3 linked regions of the Solanum lycopersicum genome follow. The protein of the gene in region 2 interacts with the protein of the main gene of each other region in a pairwise test. Links are inferred from orthologs where the notes say so. Each region holds a gene or a part of one and is shown on either strand. Other genes may lie near its edges.

Region 1 (4,313 bases), on a different chromosome or scaffold from region 2:
CTATTCAGAAGCAAATAAAGGTTTACAAACAGAAACAGTCATAGACAAGGAAAGCAAATTCCCAGGTTAGATACCTTGAAGAAGACAAAGTAAGGTACAGCAGAAACAGAGTGCAGCTCAGATATCTCAGGCTGTTCTTCAGCTTCAACCTGAAATACAAAGACAGAAGCAAAATAATCACCATCAGAGATGAGCTGAAACATCAGAATGAGTGAATGACTAATGAGCAAATTCCAGTAGCACCTAGACATAATTCATTAAGGAATTCAGTTTACAGTGGCATCAACCACTATAGAAGAAAAGTTCATTCCCAATTCACTATACTAGAACAAGCAACTATTCGAGTGTCCTGTGTTCTCCACTTCTCTGCTTGCAGGAAGTAAAATTTGTAGATTCTATTCAAGCAGACAAATCAATGTAAGACCGCAGAAAATCAAGAGAGGAACAATATAGCTAGGCAACCACAAGAACATATCTGTCTGTGTGTGCCCCTTCAGGGAGACAAGTTCTTAGTTAAAAGCTTTTTCCTTATCTTTTCTGTGTCTATTTGAGTTATCACGGGCGTTCATTTTCTCAACTTGCTTAAAAAATTGAACTACCAAATTGAGGTAAGAGTTAAGACTGAAGAAAATCAACAGAGCAATAACTATCTCCACCCTCCCCAAAAAAACTTGGTACTACAAAGTCCTCATATTTATATAACATAGCTGGGTAACCACAAGAACTCATATACTCAGTGCATCCATTCAGGGAAATAAATTCATAGTTATTCTTCTATCCCAATTTATGTGACACGCTTTCTATTCCAGTCTGTCCCAAAAAGAATGTCACCTTTCTATAATCAGGAAAAATTCACTTCAAAATTTCCTCTTTTACCCTTAAAATGAATTGATTTATAGCCGCACAAAAGACTAAGGTCTGTTTTAAACCACAATGTTAAAAGTCTTCCTTTCTTACTTTAAACTTTGTGCAAGTCAAATGGTACCACATAAATTGGAACAAAGAAGTACTTGTTTTTCCCTAACTTTTTGTGTTTATTTGAGTAAATAATGCATGTTCATTTCCTCAAACTGCTTTTATTTCTTCAACATCTACCAAAGAATGTGACAATGAGCTTATAAGAGGTAATAATAGTTGCCTAATAGAGCAAAGCTTATTTCTATTAGTACCAAGTTTGACCAAAAAACTCTTAACAGTAGCACCCTAAAATTTCACCAAAGTTAGCCTATTGTATAGAAGATTGAGTGTCATTAATGGAGAACCATATTTTGGTATAGATTATCTATATCTTGGCATACTGCTCGTACACAAGTGCTTTCCCGAATTAATAAAATTATATATCTTATCAAAACAATTGTTTACTACAAACCAAGACTTACTGTGCAAAAGGAGAAATCTCATTGTCACTACAAGAATGATCTACATTCACTACAGAACCATAAACCATTTAAAGCATATCTTCCCAAAACAAACATTAAAAAAAAACACTCCAAACAGAAACAATATGTCCAAAACCCTTTAAAGCATATCTTTCAATAGCACATCACAAAGCTTTGTAGTTCGTCCAAAATCTTATGAACTGCCATTTTTACTAATGAAGGTGGTACCAGGTACTGGCTTGCACACATTTGACTAATCTACCAATGGTAAACCTGCTCACCAAGGCTAAACACCCTGGTGTTATAACCCAAATTCAAACCAATAATCTCCAAGTTGTCACTCCTATGCCTAAACCACTGGACTGTATTGATATCGATATAAAGAATTAAAATATATATACTTTCTGAGTTTTATTACATGTGAAAACTGAATAATGAACAACAAAACCCTAAACCCTCAAAGCACAGCAATAAAAAACAAACCCAGAGAACCCCCTCCAAACAAAAGAGCATATCAAACAGAAAATAGCAATCCAACAATTCATTCAAAATTCCATAAGCCACATCAAAAACCATTCAATAAAATACCAGAACTCAACCAATAAATTAAAAAGATATAAACTTGGTCCATCTCCAATAAAGTTTCACAAAAGAAGTGTACAAAAACTCTTAACCCTTCACACCTTAGTTAAAGGGGAACAAAAACTAAACAACCCCCAACAAGAACATATCAAGCAGAAAATCAATCAATAACGCATCAATATATTTCAAGATCATTCAAAATTCCATAACCTATCTTATTTTACCTTTCTCAGTAAGAAATATAACAGCGCCAGTCATATAACCAAAAATAAAACCAGAAATCGATCGATAAATTAAAAAAGATACAATCTTTTTGGGCTTCTCTTCCATATATGCACAAAGTGAGAAGATTTTGCTTACTCTTAGAAAATGGGCATGTGGGAAATCAGTAGAAAGATGCGAAAAGACTTGGTCCATGTGCTTAGAAGCTTCACACCATGATGCCCAAAAGTGCAAAATCGCCGGTGATCCGTCGGCGACAATCTTATCAAGCTCCGCCTTCGATTGAACTTCCTTCACTGATCCTCCTCCGCCCATTCTCGATTCTTTCAGATTCTCTATTTCTCAATGAGAAGTGAAGTAAATACCCTCAAAGAACAATACGAAATTTCTCCTCTTTTATGCTGTTTTATATAAAAGCCTACTTCTTTTTCCCTTTTCTTTCATATATATATATTTTAAAAAAATCTTAAATTCTTCAAATTTTAAATTGTGATTTAGTCCTTTTTTTTTTTTAAATAATAAAGTTGAATTATAAGTTTAATACATAATAATAAAAATTATTATTTTAAATTTTATAGAATCGATTAATGTTCAATACGAAGAGATTGCTCCTAGTTTAGTTAGTATTATCGTCAATTAGTTGATTTTTGTAAAAATATATGTAAAACATAAGTTTGTAGTCATAACAAGTAAATGCAAGTATTTATTTATTAAATATGAGTTTACTTATTTGGTAAAATTGTATAAAAATTGATAAAATTTTGCTAATTTCACAAATTATAGGACTTATATATTTATGAGGGAAAATATAATTTAAAAGTTAAATGTCTAACAAAATTGTAATTTTAAATCAACATATTTGAAATTTTAATTTCGTATCATAATTTTAAATTATTAATTAATCATATCATATATTTATATAAAAGAGAATTCTAGGCCCGTCTACGTAGCGTCACGGTGAAATTTATTTATTTTCAAAATTAGTCTTCATTTTTCATGAAAAGTTGCGACGTAAATAAGAGTTGTGACTTTTATCTTTTATGACGACATTAATAAAGAGTTGCGATTTTTATCAAAAGTAACTTTTATGATAAGCTGCGACTTTAATTAAGAGTTGCGATTTTTATGAAAAGTTGGGACTTTAATGAAGAATTGTGACTTTTACTAAAGGTTGTGAACTTTTCGAAGAATTGTAACTTTTTTTAATAATTATGACCTTTTTGATAAAACACAATAAAGATTTGTCCACACTATCCTTTGTTGTCTATAAATAATGAGATTCTCTCTGATTTAAAAACAACAAAAGTTCTGATCTTCTTCTTTTTCTTCTAATTCCTCAAATTTTAATATTTGTAAACTTTGCTCCTGTGGAGTGACTTACTAACACACACTGCTTTTGTATCAATAAGTTGATGAATAAGACCGTTCCATCCTAAGTGGATGTAATTTTGTAAGCCTCTGGGATTGGAGGGGAATAGTTTTCTTAAGGGAACATTGTGCATTCACCGGATTCGATTTTTTCCTTTCTATTTCCATTTTGTTTTTACATATCCTGGTATGTTTTTTTACATTCATTATGCTTATGATATAAATTATTATTTTTGAGTACATGTTTTAAACTCTGTTGTTTATATTTCTGCAAATTAATTATCTCCGATTATATTGAACATACACACATATATTACGGATATTCATTATGCATAATAATTATACTCAGTTCCAAAAATTCATGTTTTGATATTCTATATTAAATTCAATGACTTACATGTACTATATAAGATTACATATTATTTATTTTTACATAGATAGGAAATTTTTCGCTTATCAGTTGAAGAAATTCATTATGCATATTCAAAAGTTATAATTGCTTTCATGTTCAAGAGTAATTTCTTTTTTGAAGATGTTAACAATTTTTTTAATTTTCTCCTAATGCATATCTCACATTTGTATAATTTATGCAACTTAAACGTTTCTTTTTATTACGAAATTTCTTTGAATATATATTCTTATTTACTTCTTTATTTTACTTTTTGATTAAAGAATCAATGATTTATTATTTCGTCAGTAGTTCATTTATTAGAGATTCTTGAGTTATGTGATAATGTCGAATAATCAAATTCATGTTAAAAT
Region 2 (4,086 bases):
TATATGTATTCCAGGAAAAGAAAAACTCTAAGGTCCCTCAATGCTTTGAGGTTCTTCCACCTATCCCTTAATGTACCTGAAATCTTAGTATAGCATCTCTTATTGACATAAATAATAGGTAGCTCATATATGTATTCCGGGTAAAGAGCAACTATCTCAGGTACCACAATGCTTTAATGGGTCGTTTGGATTAGAAGCAAGTTACAGGGGAATTAGAAATGCATGGATGGCAATGTAGAGATTGTAATGTAGGGATTGAAATGCAAGGTTAAGGTTATAATACAAGAACTGTAGTGGAAGGATTATTTACTCAATGGATGTTAGATTTGTTATACTAAAGTGCATATTAAAAAATATTTTTTAAATTCTTTTGACAAAATAAATATTGGATAACACGTGAAGGGTTATTTTTGTCATCTCGTAATTTTACTCCATATTATACTATCCCCGCATTCTTATCTTGCATAAAATAATATATCGATACCCGCATAACTTAAAGAGGATATCAGTTATGCGACAAGAGAAGTGGAAACAAAAATTGTATTATAAATATCCTAAATTTTATGTGGAAAGGAAGAATGAAACCAAACATTATACTAACACTAAGTATAAGTGGAGATCACTTTCTCCACTACTCCCAACCAAACATCACCTAAGTTCCTTCCCCAACCATTGATGTACCTGAAATCTTGCTATGATGGTATATGCTCTTGAGATAAGGACTTATTAAAGCACCTTTGTAAAAAACACTTCAACAAGTTTAGCTTCTTTTTTAGAAAATCATTAGATGTTAAATGTTCTAACACTGTTCATTTCCAAGACTGGCAATTTAAGGCTAGTGATCAAAATCAAGGAAAGGTTCAACTTTATCACTGACTATTAGGTTTGTCTAACATTTGCCTGCGTTTACTTCCCTTTCCGGTCCATGAAAGCCCCAAATCACTAATTCCGTCCCATATTTTTCCCTCCCTCTTACGACTGTCCAGCACGGCTCTATCTTTTTCACGATAGAGCCAGGTAGACCAATATACCCTTACAATTGAAGAAGTCTATAAAGCCTAAACAACTGAAAAGGTCAAATATACCCTACGTGGCTGACCAACTCTTCAAGGTGGAGGGGCACATTTCATACGAAAGATAATTGTGGGGGATCCTTTGACCCGAAAGGTGAACAGAGGAAGGATATAACACAAATACACGTATTGGGTATATTTGCACTTTTTTTCCCATCAGGAAATTCTCTCATACAAAGAGAAACTGGAAAAAAAAAGAACTATAGCTCACTCGCCTTTCCCTCACTTCAAACACATGTACCATGGAATGTACCATTTTCACCTTCTTGCGCAAATGGCCCACTTGTGAGCTATTTGCTTAGACGACCTACTTGTTGGAAGTCCTACTTGGTTGAGTTGCTTATTTGACATCCTAGTAACTTGAGCTACTTGAATCAAGGGCGACTCACATGCTTAAGGAAATTTAATAAACTACTAGTCTAAGCAAGTAACTAGTAGGTGCCTACTTAAGAACGAAGTTCCAGATGTAAATAAGACAAGTAGTTGCATCACCTACTTAAGCCAATAAACCAGGGAGTTAAGCAGGTGATGCATCTACTTGACTTCTTTAAATTTTGGCCCTTTGTTCTAAAGAGGTGATACACCTACTAGTCACATACTTAGACTAGTAGGTCATTAATTTTCCTTAAACACGTGGGTTGCTCTTATTAAGCAACTAGGACATCTAACCAACTAGATCAACCAACTAGGATGTCAAAGCAAGTCGGTGAAGCACATAGCTCAAGCAAATAAATCCATGGAGTTATTTATACATCTATATAGTCCTTAATGGACTTGAAAGATGGGCCTTGGGCGGACCCAAGACAGCCCCCTTTTGGTCCGTATCTTTGGGCCATAAGCCTTTAAGTAGGTGATGGACCTACTTTTTTATCTTTGGCCCTTCATTTTTACGTAGGTGACACCTACTTGACTTCTTTAAATTTTCAGCCTTCGTTCTTAAGGAGTAGCTAACTCAGAGTTGTTTTACATAGTGCCAAATCCAACTAATATCATCTTCATAGTGAAACAATCCAATCAAGGCAGATTTGAAGTTAGAATTTTGCTTTTAATAAATTAAAATGTAAAACTTAAAGATGTGTTTTTTGACCTATTAATTCATAACAACCAAAATTTCAGCATTTGGGAGATTTCCCAATGTTTATCACTTATTTTCCTTTGTCAGTTAATTTTAACAATTGCAACTGACAAGGTTTAACAAAATCTAAAATCCTGATAAACCTATTTGGTTTAGATTTGCTATGAACAAATTAAACGAACACAAACTCATCAAGTTAACAACAGATATGTGTATATTTGAGAGAATTTACCAGATGAGAAGGGTTAAGCTTTGCCCTTAGTGAAGATTCTACTTGCTCCTTCATCTTCATCTTTCGAGAATACTCTTTTTTTTCTTTGTTATTTGCTGCCAAAATGCCCCAAATACAATTCTTCTCTTCCTAGGTTTTTACAATTTTTATATACGAATCCCAATTTCTACATTTTATTTTTCAAGACGGGTTGACCCAATATTTGCTCATAAAATCTTTATATTATTATGTATTTCTAAATTAGATTTAAAAAACACTACAAGTCAAAATAATTGATATATATATATATAATGTCTATGATAAAAAATTAAATTTGTTTGAATCTCGAAATAAAAAATGTATCACATAAATTGCTTGCAACTAAGGAGTACTTTTTTTCTCTGGAATAATTTCTAAGTTGATACTTGAAAATTAAGATTTATGAACACAAATTGAAGTCTATTTTTTTGTGTAAAAACAGTTTTGAAGTTTTTAGAAATTTAAAATGGAAAATTATACAAATTCCATGTTCAAATAATTTTTCAAGAAGAAAAAGTTGAATTGGCGATGGGTGAAAAATGGCAACATAAGTGGAATAGGGAATATTTGACGACAACAATATGGCATATAATCCTATAAAATTCGAATAAGAATACCCAGTCTACTTGGATTAACTTATATTTTTCACTTTCATAATATTTGAATAAAAAAAATTGTATTTTAAAGCACTTTCATGGTGTTTGTTAAAAATCACAAATTATGGCTTTTGACAGCCATAAGCCAATCCAAACAGACACTTCTTGTCTCATTCTAGAGTTAAGTAAACAGAAGCAGCACGGTTCACAAATATCCAATGCTATAGGATTTCAACATTACTAATCTTGTGCTTTGCAAAACACATGTACTAGACAAAATCACAGACCACCTACAATAGTCTACTGCAGCACCTTAAACAAAATATAGCGTGCTTGCAGATTTTCATACACCACGATGCCTCTCCTCATCAAGTAGTCCGGAGTGGAGGAGACACCAGAATCACACCATCTCCACGAACAAATAGGAACGGGATGGTCCGTCTCGTCGCCTAAAACACAATCAACAGAGAACCAATGTCAGCTGCTTTTACAATCATTAGAAAACCATTCCTCAACACACAACAACTCTTGCAAAAAGCAATTCTAATAAATACATTCTACTCATGGGGCCAATCTAGGATATCAACCACTATGATCAATAGCGAATCCAGGGTTTAAATTTGATAGGTTTTGGGATAAGTTGAACCAATGTTCGATTTGTTTTTAAATTTTAGTAATTCTTCACAAAGATCTATGATTAGTTAAACCCATTGAATATATGTGACATCCTCCACTATGACTAGATTTAATATAGACATTTGCCTTAATTATAAAATTTCACAACTATACAAGGAAAATAGAGATTTCAATATGTTAAAACTTGGGAATTTTGAAAGAATAAAACCAAGTAAGAAAAAGAAAACAATGCTTTAAATTGGAACACAAGATGGACCTTGGAAGATTGGGAGTTGTACATTGAAACACACGTGAATTGACACCCCTCCTTCTTAGGATACACCCCTGATTCCACTACAAGTGAAAATACGAGAAGAAACTTCTCGAAACTTCAGATGGAAAAGGAGCACCTAATCTTCTAAGGGGGTATCACATAAGCGAAAAGCAGATGTCCCTTGGTATATTTTTTGAGCATCA
Region 3 (4,319 bases), on a different chromosome or scaffold from region 2:
GTGAAGTTCTATAGCATTCACTTGATGCTCTTTAAAATACAATCACTATATAGTATATAAAAATAAAGGGTCGCCATTTTTTATAGCTACAAAAATGTAGACATACAACCTACATATAACTCAAATAACTACATAGCCACAGGGTCATCACCATGAATGTAAAATGCTGGCATCATCCAGGTGAATCAATGTCATACCATACTTCATAAATTAAAAAAAAACAATACCATACTATAAGAATGAAAAGAACCAATTTAAACCACAGATATTTAAAAAAAAAAAGTATGAGCTGCCTCGACAGTCAAATATCATCTGACCTTATGAACAAACCATTAATCATTTCCAGAGTTTACTATGATATTTAAATGGCAGCCAATATCCCATCAGCAATATGTCTACCCAAATGACCCTACTTTCTCTAAAGGATGTGTTTAATGTCACAAAAGCATATTGCTCAGATCACAGCAGAGGGCGAAAGATGGCCACTTAACATCTAGAATTGTGTATCAATCCCTTCTAAAAATGCAAATAAATTCGTCAATAAATAATTTTCATAACCATAGACCATTTGGCATCAAACTTACCTGAAAGCTTTTACAGCATTCTTAAGCTCAGGATCTTCTAAGATATTTCTGGCACTTATTGGAGCATCTGCAAAGACAATATATATTCGTAAATCGTAAGAAGATGAAGACCAATTAAGGGCCCATGGACCTCTATCAGAAATCTACACTTGCAAGTAAAGAGGATGCAAAATCCAACAACAAGAGATATCACTTATAGCACATGGACTTACTGTATTCTTTGAGAACTCTAACAGCCAATGAGCTGAATCCACAACGAGGCAGGTCTGGCACACCTTTCATGTATATCATCACAGGATTATCCTTGACATCCTACAACAGAAGGCCGACAGAATAACTAAACCTGAACACTTAACAGTACAGCAAATAAACGAAAAAGGGTAACACAATCTCTATATTCAAAGATTGAAAACAAAAGAGCTCTGACTTGCCAACAAGCAGAAAATGTACACATTGACTAAAGCTACCTGCTCAACAATATTCTCCAGAGAAAGACCTGAACTCTCAAGCTTACTAGTAGGCCTAAAATCTTCATGTGTGTCCGGATCACTAGGCACAGAAGTTGAATACCGCACTTCACCCTGGTGGATGGATCTGGATGTCTATTATACAAATCAAGCAACTGTTAAGCATAAATTTTGAACAAATAAAAGAAAAAAAACGATTTTGTCTAATCCTGTCTATGGGCTAAACACATTAGAAGACACTGGATGGAAACATATGGTAGAAAGATTTGAGCAAATGGTCTTTTTTGGGGAATATAGATTCAAGCAAATGTTTGATGAAGGTAGATTCAAGCAAATGTTCTTAGTTTATTATATGACTTACAGATACAGCATATACTCCAATTGTATTTAGCTAGCGAGAGATAAACTAGAGTGTCCAGAACAGAGCGATGGGGTGCACAAAGTGAAAACAGAAGAAAGAAAGGGGAGCTCTTCATAGTAAAGCTTAATTTCTTTACTTTGCAAGCTACCAGATAAGTCAGACAAAGAAGTGGAAAGCATTAGTTGATGTGTTGTTAATAGTAAGCACAAACAGGGTGACAGTAATGTTTATTCTTACAATTGCAGATGAACGTGCAAGAGGGTAGGCTGCAAAACGCTTCAACATCATTTGAGATAATGATCTCGCCATAATAAAAGAGACAATTTGTTCAAACTTCTTTCAGCTGCAGGGATGATTAAATAAGAAAAAATTACAAATCAGTTCTTAGTGCTTCACAACCTCAAAAATATAGTAAAAACCCTTAGCTACAAAGCATACAACCCTCTTTTGGGACCAATGAAGCTAAACCATCAAATTTATGTTCAGGCATAGACTACTATTTAAATGGATTGGAATGGAGATAATCGATTCATATAACTGACAGCAACTAGTACAGGACTGAGGCACTTTTGCCATAATAAATAGCTACAAATTTATCACTAATGTTGTTTCTTTTATCTAGGTTATCTTTACTATTTTTATGTAGATAGTTGTCTTTCCTTCGATATTATGCCATAGGGGTGAGGTCTGTGTGCACCCCACCATCCCAGACCCACTTGTAGGATCACAAGGGGCATGGTGTTGTTACTTGATGGTATTATCACAGACATCCCATCTCTATGACCCAATAATCATATCAAACCACAACAAAAAGCTCAATGTAATATCTGAATTCTGATCAGAGATTCTTTAATCTAGACAAATGTTCTAATTTCAAATTTGTTTTGAGATACAACATTATATTAACACCTAACTCATTGAATCAATTCATCGAACACCTAAACGCATAAAACTGAAAATTTTCAGACACCCATTTCAGTAAACGATAAAAAGATTGTTTTTTTAATCTATTTTCATCCAATAAACCCCAAGTCACTGTTCAAAAACAATCGGAGAGAGCACGCAAAAATTAGAAAATGACATGAAAGCAATTACTACTGAATCACCAAAAAAATGGTTCCTACAGAAATCTGCTGGCTTGCCAAGCGAATAATGACACAATTAAAGAATAAATAGATGGAAAATCGAAAAATTACCACTCAGAGAAGAGAAGACCAGACCAATTCCTTCCTGTGCTTTAATATTTTCGACTTCTAAAACCCCTATTTCAGGTTTTCATTTAGGTATTTATAGCCGAAAGGGTGATGAGAGAATGGAGGAGGAACATAAAAACGTATATTGCCGTTTTTGCCCCCTAGGCCTTAAAACTTAAATCTAAATTTTGTGTTTATTTAATTACTTTCTTTGTATAAAAAAAAAAAAATCTATTTCCTTTTTAGTCCGTTTTAAAATTCTTTCTTTTTTTAGTAATCCTTTAACTTTTCACGTGGCATGTTTAAAAATATAAAATTAAAGGGTATTTTGGTACGTTTAACATAACTTTAATTTAGAACCATAATATTAAAAAATATTTTTTCTTTTGATAAACTTCGTTCCAAGTCAAACTAGGTTATCCTTTTTCAAACGGAGAACATACCTTTTTTAACTAGATAAATTGATAATTTCGATCTTCTTGGATGTTATGTGGTAAAGAATGTGTGTTCAAAGTTTGAAAGGATACCACAAGTAACTAGATAAAGTAATTGGTCCTTCACAAAACTAGTTAACTTAATTCACAGGTTGAGTTAATGAAACAATTAATTACCAAGAAAATGAATTCCTTAGTCACCCTTCAAATTTCCACATTCAAAAAAGTTATAGTATTTGTTTTGGCGATAAAATATTTAAATTTACAGGTTAATTGCGTTTGCAAATTTCCTCAGGTGGTTTAATACCTTCCCTTCCTCAGTAGATTTTTTTATCTTTATTTTCAAACAAAGGTTCCAAATGCCTTTTCAAAATCTAATTTCCAAAATAGTTAATGGGCGACTCTGTTTTCACACATACAACCAAGTAATGAAACATTTCTAATCGATCTTCTTTTTTTAAAAAAAAAAACAAAAAAACAGATAAAACAAAACAATCATATTAAATTTGTTGTCATTTCTACATGATTTTACCAGTTTCTTCATTGGTGCAGTAAATTTATATACTATTTCGCAACTCCATAATAAATCTACATTAACTTTCACCCTAACGCAACTAAATCTCGTTTAATTTGTCTAATCGATCACTAACTAGTTTTTCCAACTGGTTTAGATATGGAAAACATTAATTCCTTATTAACGTAGCAGAATCGACCATAAGAGAATTTTTCTACGTCGCAAACTGTAAATTTGCCTAATCATAAACATATGCCATAGCTGGAAAATTACGATACAAACATTGAAAAACAGACGTACTATAGGGAGGCATGAGGTTAAGCTTAACATCCTTTAAAAAATTCCCTTATGATCTTAACAAGCTTTTATGTTTCATATGTTCAGAGATAGTAAACAAGGAACTATAATTTCATGAGGGGGGAAACACTTGTTCTTGAAGTATCGAAGTAGGAATGGAAAAGAACGACAACAGCGATGGTTCATTTGAGAGTACAAATAACAGGAATTCTGACATAAAATTCCTCCATTCAGTGATGACAAGATACCTGAAAACCAAAGAACTTCAACCTGAAAGGAACCAAGCATTAATTCAATGGTTTAATGCCCGAAGGATCTTGGCATGTACCTTGATGACCTGTTGTGTCTCCTCCACGTTCCTGGTCTTTCCCCGTGATTATCTGATGGAGCTTATCTACTAGCTCACCTGCTTTCGGATCTAGCACTAGTTGTGATCAACTAGCACTCAGTCTAACAGCATCATCATCTC

Evidence for each region.
Region 1: the proteins of protein BOLA2 (region 2) and monothiol glutaredoxin-S17 interact in a two-hybrid assay, tested with the Arabidopsis thaliana proteins (2 studies listed by BioGRID). The link is inferred for Solanum lycopersicum from reciprocal best matches to the Arabidopsis thaliana genes AT5G09830 and GRXS17.
Region 3: the proteins of protein BOLA2 (region 2) and monothiol glutaredoxin-S15, mitochondrial interact in a two-hybrid assay, tested with the Arabidopsis thaliana proteins (2 studies listed by BioGRID). The link is inferred for Solanum lycopersicum from reciprocal best matches to the Arabidopsis thaliana genes AT5G09830 and GRX4.

The regions. Positions count from the first base shown.
Region 1 is NC_090801.1:59,271,734-59,276,046, forward strand, and holds the start of monothiol glutaredoxin-S17, read right to left. Parts: upstream 2,815-4,313; 5' UTR 2,499-2,814; coding exon 2,322-2,498; intron 150-2,321; coding exon 75-149; intron 1-74. UniProt on the Arabidopsis thaliana protein: May only reduce GSH-thiol disulfides, but not protein disulfides. Participates probably to the maturation of iron-sulfur proteins and to the regulation of the redox state of the BOLA proteins.
Region 2 is NC_090810.1:868,489-872,574, forward strand, and holds the start of protein BOLA2, read right to left. Parts: upstream 2,840-4,086; 5' UTR 2,441-2,839; coding exon 2,381-2,440; intron 1-2,380. Other genes in the region: sm-like protein LSM3A, read right to left, coding at 3,363-3,443. UniProt on the Arabidopsis thaliana protein: May act either alone or in interaction with glutaredoxin as a redox-regulated transcriptional regulator, or as a factor regulating Fe-S cluster biogenesis. The GRXS17-BOLA2 heterodimer binds a labile, oxygen sensitive iron-sulfur cluster.
Region 3 is NC_090805.1:44,575,594-44,579,912, forward strand, and holds the start of monothiol glutaredoxin-S15, mitochondrial, read right to left. Parts: upstream 2,815-4,319; 5' UTR 2,609-2,814; intron 1,756-2,608; 5' UTR 1,722-1,755; coding exon 1,650-1,721; intron 1,187-1,649; coding exon 1,052-1,186; intron 897-1,051; coding exon 797-896; intron 652-796; coding exon 585-651; intron 1-584. Other genes in the region: uncharacterized protein, read right to left, coding at 4,296-4,319.